Bombyx mori: one gene and its partner. The protein of the gene in region 1 purifies or fractionates together with the protein of each later gene. This does not show direct contact. Links are inferred from orthologs where the notes say so. Each region holds a gene or a part of one and is shown on either strand. Other genes may lie near its edges.

Region 1 (4,354 bases):
ACTGTTTTTATATTATTATTATTTCTGATGAATAAATGCATTCACGTCATATGTATATATATTTTTCACTTCAAATTTAACGATGAGAATTAAATGATCAATTTCAGAAATTTTTTATGTGTCACTCTTTAAACTCACAAAACCATTTCCACATTAATATTAATTCAATTCCCCATCTTTTTAGAAAAAGAAAAAAATCCACTCTGGTAACCGTGAACTGACGTATGAGATTTTCTATGGTTTTTTTCTTCATTTGGGCAGACACATGGATCCAAGTGACTATAAAACTCAAGGTTCATTCATATATTTTAAGTACGAAAGTCATGCCGTTTTTTAAAAGACAAAAATAAAATCAATTAACTCTAGTAAAAAGGTTTCTCACCTTTACTACGACTAAAAAGGTATTTTTGGGAGAACCTGAGAAGACTTGTCGAGTGAATACTAAAAAATCAACCAGCTACAATTAAGCCAGAAAAAAAAAAAAAATTGACAAATTAAAACAATTAAAATATCAAGATTCAACAAGAAGAAACAAAGTTCTAACCGTTATAAAAAATCCTTGTATTTTGATGCTGTCCAATGAGAAATTCACTAACCTTTCTCAAAGTCCACAACAGTAAGCATTTCAGTCTGCAATTCGACACTTTGTTCTATGAGTATTCAAATTAATTAATTAAAACCAAATTTCGGACTTAATGTTACCATGTAATGAATTTTAACACCCAAAATTTATTATCATAAAAGAATTTGTACATTTCCTTAGTGACGTTACTCAAATTAGTCTTTGAGTGGTTAATTTTTGATCATTCTTTTGAATTTTTCTACTTTCCAAAATATGTAAGTGGTGCTTCTCTTACAAATAAACACACAAAATATTTCTCTGTGTGGCTGTAATAAATACTTAAATTCCTGCTCATGTTTGATGACTTGTAGGTTAGGATGTAGACAGTAAGCCTGAAAATTTTTTTTCATTGTTGGTAATATATAATGCTAAGTTGTAGTAAAATAAAAAATTGTATGGAGTTTCAGGTTGTTGACCATGATCTTTTTCACGCATCTATACAATAAATTAATTAAAGAATGGCTTAGCATTTCTATCAGGTAGATCCAAGGTCTAATGAAAGCAAATGATTATAGTCATTTAGATTTTTTTGAAAACTGTTAGTAACAGCTATGCGCCATTAAAAAACCATTTCATACAAAATAAAAAAATCAATTAATAAATGCGAAAGTGAAGTGTATTTTTTTTAATCATTGCTTTGCACATATTCATTGATATTCAAACAACATAATATTATTCTAGTGAACACAAAACAAGAATTTATCCTACTTTCAGGTCAAGATAATAGATTTTTTATTTCTGTATATTATTATGCCATAAATAAAGACAGTTGATAACTTATTTTGTCGTAAGAATATCTTTTAGTATACCTCCACTGGCAGATTGGCATATATTCAGTGCATAATAAGAGATTGGCTTGGCAGCCCAGTTGTAGATATGGCAACATTGATTTTAACGCTGCCTGCCATTTTCGTTTTGTGGCACAGTAAGCGGCGGTCCTAATGTGTAATTCTCGTAATATCTTGAGTTTGTTATCATTGTAAAACGTTTGTTAAGAATAGTGTACCCGTTTAATGTGACCTGGAAAAACGTGACAGTTGTAGTGTTCAAAGTTAACACCAAAGTAAAGATAAATTGTTGACTTCCTTGGGTGGAGAGGGTGAGTAGGTATTTCTTTATTATTTGATTTTGTATCTTAAAATTGTTTCGTTAATATATTAGTAAGGGATATGTTTATTGCATATTTCCCATGTATTAGATTGTAAATTTTTTACAAGTTAATTGTTTCGCATTGTAAGACCTCTAGGGCGTAGTGGTAAGCACCGAAGGTTTATCATTAGTGTAAAGTGTCACCACACCTATGTTTAACTGTCATCATTGATAGAAATATGTAAAATGCGAATGTCTATGAAATATATGAACGATTATTTCTTAAAAGTTATAGAGAAATCAAATTTAATTAAAAATATAATCAAATTCAGTATTAAAAAAAAAACTATTTTTAACAAATCCTTATCTATAAACCGAATACATCATATAAGTCTAAAATTGACGTATCAATTAATTACCTAGTATGGTAAAAATAAGTATGTAAAGAAGATCCAATTAGATTTAAATTTTTGAATAAAATGTTCATAGATGGAAAGAAGTATGGTTCAAATTTAATAAGCGAATTAAAGAAATGAAAAACAAAGAAACTAATATGTTTTATGATACAGTAATTAGTGTTTGGAGCTTTTATGGGTTATTTTAACTTTAGAGCACTTTTCCAGAATCAACTTTGTTACTACAATTAACACCACAACTATCTTTGACTAACTTTGGGCAGCAACGTTAGTTAAGTATGTGCAGATTGCACAAAATAAATTGAAAATTTACACCAAAAAATTAGTCACTGGGATAGTCTGGCAAGAAAGGTAAAGTGATATTTGGTAAAGAGAGAAAGTTATGAGTGTTTTCAACTCGTTATAACATACATCATGCAAATCTTAAATTAAAATTTTGTATGATATACATTGTAGACGTAACCCTCTTATAACACAGTATTTTGTAACACTGTTCCACTCAAACACCAAAAGAAAAATTCTCCGAAACCATCATACTAAAATGTAGTATTTTTACAAAACAATAATCAGGGTTTTGTTTAAAATTATTAAGAAAATTACATTATGCACTTTGAACACAATATATGGGAATAACTGAAATTTAACTAATTTAAAATATATAATAGGTTAGTTACATTACATAGTTGAGATGTTTCATTCAGAAAAATTAGTCCCCTTTTGTTCTGGTTTCAAGTCTCATATAACATGGTTTGGCACAATACGGGATTTTGTAAGAATGTATCTACTCTATTATAGAATGGTTACATGTATTATATTTTTAAAGGTGATTAACAATCAATTATCAATAAATCCTAAATATCTATCATATTTTGATTATTTTACATTAAGGGGCCTACCTTGGTTTTTGGTTATTTATTGGATATACATGAACATGTGCTAGGCCTATAAGCATTATTTTGCATGTTAAATAGACAAAATGTTGACAGCTTTCCTAATGGGATTACAATACTTCGTATTGCAAGTCTTTATGAAGCAATACTTTAGTCGTCGTGGCCTAACGGATAAGACGTCCGGTGCACTCGTGTTGAGTGTGTTGATGTTCGAATCTCAGGCGGGTACCAATTTTTCTAATGAAATACGTACTCAACAAATGTTCACGATTGACTTCCACGGTGAAGGAATAACATCGTGTAATAAAAATCAAACCCGCAAAATTATAATTTGCGTAATTACTGGTGGTGGGACCTCTTGTGAGTCCGCGCGGGTGGGTACCACCGCTCTGTCTATATCTGCCGTGAAGCAGTAATGCGTTTCGGTTTGAAGGGTGGGGCAGCCGCTGTAACTATACTGAGACCTTAGAACTTATATCTCAAGGTGGGTGGCGCATTTACGTTGTGGATGTCTATGGGCTCCAGTAACCACTTAACACCAGGTGGGCTGTATATGACAAATTCAAATATAAAAATTTGATATACCAATTTCAAACTGAAGGCTAACTTTTATGACCATCAAATATACTACACTACAGTGCTCAAGATGATCTTAAACACTGCACTTTTACCCTAAAGAGATTTTGTTACAAATGTTGTAATAGATTATCATACAAGATATTTATAACGAACACTGTAACTTAACAATAAACTAACAATCTTTTGTAACATCATTTGATTAACTACAATATTAATGATCTTTTAATACCAAAATATATCATTTAATGTCATGCCACTGTAAACAAATCACTATTAGAATAGTTGAATCAGAATGAATGTAGTTTTAAGTATATCCTGATTTTTAAAAGTATTTTTGATCAATAATTTTAAGAATTGATATCTGATATGTCCTATATTAGTGGTAGAAGTTTGTATGTGTCACACAGCTGCAAGTTATAAACATAACAGAGGCAAAACAGCAACCATGAAGTCTTATGTTCTTGTCCAGCCTCTAGTGATTCTTTTGAGGGGTTTGGTAGTTGGGGGAGGGTAATCCATCTACTGTTTAAAGTTAGGGTTATAAGAGCATCATAGTATTAAACTCTAAACTATCCCGGAAATACTTAAAAAATTGTATATCTCTTATCACCCTGCCCTCTGCGATGGCAAGTCTAACGACGGGAGATAAAGATGTATTGTTGTAACAACTCAATCTAGGGAGCAGACAGACTCTAGAGTAGTCTAGAGCAAAGAAACGTTCGTAAGGCAAAGCACTTAGTGCGAAATAAATTTAATAT
Region 2 (4,071 bases), on another chromosome or scaffold:
TATAGCCTCTCAAGGCTATCAGCTTAGGTAGGAAAAAAAAACAGTAAGAATCTATTGAATCCTTCTCCAAACATCAGACATGTGCACTCGAATGTACTTCTAGATTTATGTTTCAGTTTTTCGTCCGTCCCCCTCTACTTTGAGTCTGTAGTCAAATACACTACCGCGATTCAGGCAATCATCATCAACTCTCCGCGAAATTGGTTACAGTTAGTTATTTATAAATTTCTAGAAAGAGAACCACTTTGTTTTATGCATGTTCAGTCTAATACAATTGACATTTTTTCTTTACATATTTAACTTGTTTTCTTGGTGAAAGAATCAGCAACAAAGCTAATTTTGCAAATGGAATGTGCTGATTTTGGTAAACTTTAATATATAAAATTTATACATATACAAAACGTGTATAAACACATTCTTGTGTGATTCAGTTTAGTGAACTTAAAGATATAAAATTTAGACATGTATAAATAAAGATATTCTTGTGTAGCTCATTGAAAGTAACAGAAATGGAACATAAAAGAAATAAATAGATAGCAGAGGAGAAAGCGAGAGAAATTCTATTTTTATTCATTCTTGCCACAGAGTGCCTCCTAATACTAATCTCATCATGCCTAAAGCAGTGGCTTCAATAATTTAAACACACCTTACCTATATCAGGTCTTAATAATAACATATTTTTTAACATTGCTTCAAAGTAGTTCGATATATAATATGTACTTTTAATATCCAAATTTTATTGCAGTTTTGTTATACTGGAGAGTAGAGATTGTTCAGTGATTGCTACATTATTGAACTTATGTCTAACGCTTATAATTATATGGAATTTATCAAAGATTACTTCATGTTAAGGTTTCACCTTTAGTTACCTGAAAATAAAAACAATTTATATGGTAATTACTAGATTACTGGATTTGTTTATAGTCAAACTGCTACTAGGGACTTAAAAAAACCCATGGACATCAAAATAGTGCTATCCAAATTGATGCAGAAGGTCAATTTTAAACTCATAATAATTGGAAAGTATTTATCTTACTCTTGAAACAAGAATACACAATTGCTTTATGAGAGAAATGTGTACATATTTCATAAAAAAATTATGAATTTTAAGTTTCACTTCATTATTGAATGATGTTTGAAAAAATCACATCCAAACTTAGTGAGTGCTTTTTTGGAATAATTTCAATAGGATTTTTTATTTATTAATTTATTAGTTAGTTAGGAACTTTTTTTTTGCTGTAATTTGCAGCAGCAAGACTGCTTCTGGCAGTGCAGAAATTGTTGGGCAACAATAACCACTCATCATCAGGTGTGGTGTTTCCTCATTTGTCTAAAAAGGCAAAAAAATACAAGCTTCATCTAGAAGATTTATGATGTAATGCGTATGATGTCAGATGCGCATTTGACAACTATTTGATCATATCGACGCTTGAAAGGCAAATGTGACTAAGCAACAATAACTGCTTTGTACATAAATGATAGGCAATAACCATATTTGATGCACAGAAAAAATATATTTCTATGTCTATTAAAATCATTTCAATCTTACAGCTACTAGCTAGATTCTACTACAGATAGATTCATTAAAATAAATTTTGTTTTCAGGTATTTCAACTTTAAATTAGTCTACTGTAAAGTTTACGCATTGTCGCTTAGTCACGTTTGCCTTTCAAGCGTCGATATGTAACTACTTACACAAGCTTCCAAATAATCAATCTTCCTCTCTAATGATGTTAATTTTTCATTCAAAGTGGCAAGGCGAGATCTACAGGACATGTCTGAAAATTTGATGATATTATGATAATTTCACATTTATAAAGACTTACATTTTTTGACCTGTTTTAACAGAATATTTTCTATGGGTTCTGCAAGTTGTAGACAACAATAGTTGTAGACAACAATAGTTGTAGACAACAATAGTTGTAGACAACAATAGTCGTAGACAACAATAGTTGTAGACAACAGTAGTTGTAGACTACTTTTTTGTTGTATGTTTAATTGAAAATATATTTACAGTTTAATCTCCCATTTTTATTGTTATTTTATTATTACCATCGTTTCGAAAACTACATTTTTCACTGACGACTGAGATTTTTCCATTCCTTGTGTTTTGAAAGGCGAGTACCTTATCCTATGAAAAATTAATAGTGTTCTGAATTTGAAATTAAAATGTTTCTTGTTTAAGAACCTCCTGTAGCTGCTGATATTGATACACTTACCGAACGAATTGAGGAAGTCTGTAATTTTTTTTATGCTGCCTGTGATCACTTCTATGTATTCTCTGTTGGCCCAATCCTGCTGGATTTGTTTCTGTATTGTTTCTCTTGGAGGCGTCGACATTATATATAATCAGTCACGACTTATTTTAAATAGCTTATAAAGTAGATTTACTCTGTACTTAAGTATTTTAAAAGAGTTATCAAGTTTAATTAATGAATCAAATTGAGGTAAATCTTTTCATTCATTCAGTGTTTCAAACAAATAATAATAGTTTGACATTTGACAGCTTAGAATTTTGCTCGTTGATTGTTCTAATTGAGGCAGAGGATGCGATGTCAGCTTAGAATCAGAATCCACTACAATATCTCTACTCATCAGTGTCACAAAAGTCGACGAAGTCATTCACCGTGGAGTGGCAAGCAGCGTTCCTTGAGTATACCGTCCTATTGCGATCTCCAAACGACATTTTCTTGTAGTAGGACGTATTGTTAGCCCTGGGCAGGTATATTCACCTATTGTAGTTCTACTGCCTAGCAGTATACGTTCCGAGATACAACCGTTAAACCATACAAATGAAACTTTGATCTTGTGTCTCAAGGTATGTGGCGGAATTTATTTTGGGATGTCTATGGGCCATGGATGTGGTGCTTTAAATCAGGCGAGCTATGAGATCGTTCTCGTGCTAATACATCATACGTAGCATAAATATCCAATTGTTTTTGTAAAGAAGGTTAATTTTTTATTTTTTTTATTTCAAGATTTGGCTGTACGAGCAATGTGCCCTTTTCCTGTTCAAGTGAACAAGATGAACAAAAAATGACAACATTAAACAGCTGTTTGATTTAGGACTTAGGTTAGAAATTAACTTAAAAAAATCTGTATCTGCAATAGCCTATAAATTACCGGCTTACAAATTTTACACAGAAAACATAAAAATGGACGAAATCGAATACAAATTGAAAACTAACAACAGTGTCTTAATAGTCAACGCAGTAGAAAAGTTGATAACATTGATAAAATCAAAATTCAAACGTGAAGAACGACAGAGATTCGTTTTGGAAAACGAGGAATTGAAGTTTTTGAGGAAGAAATGTTCGTCCAAAGATCCTGTTGTGAGCCTGACAGCCTGTCAAGGACTCCTAGCGTTGGTGGAACTCGGTGTTTTGGAAATACCGCACACAATGTCCACTGTAGTAACACTCATACCGACTGCGCAGTAAGTACACGAATTCTCATTAAGTTTCCATATGGTACATTTAAAACTAAACTTAGTATAAATAAATTGTATGTTGATATTTTTGTAGTATCTCAGCTACTTCATTGCAGTGAGGTTATACTCAATTTTGTCTTATTAATTTTGATGTAGTATAAACAAATATGTATTAGGAGTACTAGTATTTATAATTAAAACAAAAAATATAACTAAGTAGCTTTTCAAGAATCAAAATAAAGACTATAAATTGATAAGAATTAAAAATACTTTATCAAAATAAATGTTTAAATATTAATTTATATTGTTTTCAAAGCTATTTCAATTTAATTACGTATCATTAGTATAATGTATTATATAAAATCAGGTATACAAGTAATAACTAATTGTTGTTTTATTTTCAAAATGGCCTCATCCACAAATAGAATAAGTTGGTATGTAACTTGATCTTGCCTAAAAGCAAACTTTTCATTCGACTTCATTGATTTTATTAACATTTATACCAAACACTCATAAACCATTCTAAATGTGCAAAGTAAATAATGTGTGTGAGCTTTAGCTAGGAAATTTGAACTTACTGGTGTAAGGGAAATTGATCAGCACATTTTTAATCCCTTGCCTTTTTGTCTCAAAGTAAACAG

What was found.
Region 2: the proteins of actin-binding protein WASF3 (region 1) and probable protein BRICK1-B purify together in Drosophila melanogaster (affinity purification with western blotting; 4 studies listed by BioGRID, with this or other methods). This does not show direct contact. The link is inferred for Bombyx mori from reciprocal best matches to the Drosophila melanogaster genes SCAR and HSPC300.

The regions. Positions count from the first base shown.
Region 1 is NC_085109.1:3,354,023-3,358,376, forward strand, and holds the start of actin-binding protein WASF3, read left to right. Parts: upstream 1-1,491; 5' UTR 1,492-1,729; intron 1,730-4,354.
Region 2 is NC_085125.1:1,885,689-1,889,759, reverse strand, and holds the start of probable protein BRICK1-B, read right to left. Parts: upstream 2,851-4,071; 5' UTR 2,341-2,850; coding exon 2,220-2,340; intron 1,779-2,219; coding exon 1,696-1,778; intron 870-1,695; coding exon 843-869; 3' UTR 1-842. Other genes in the region: focadhesin, read left to right, coding at 3,156-3,436.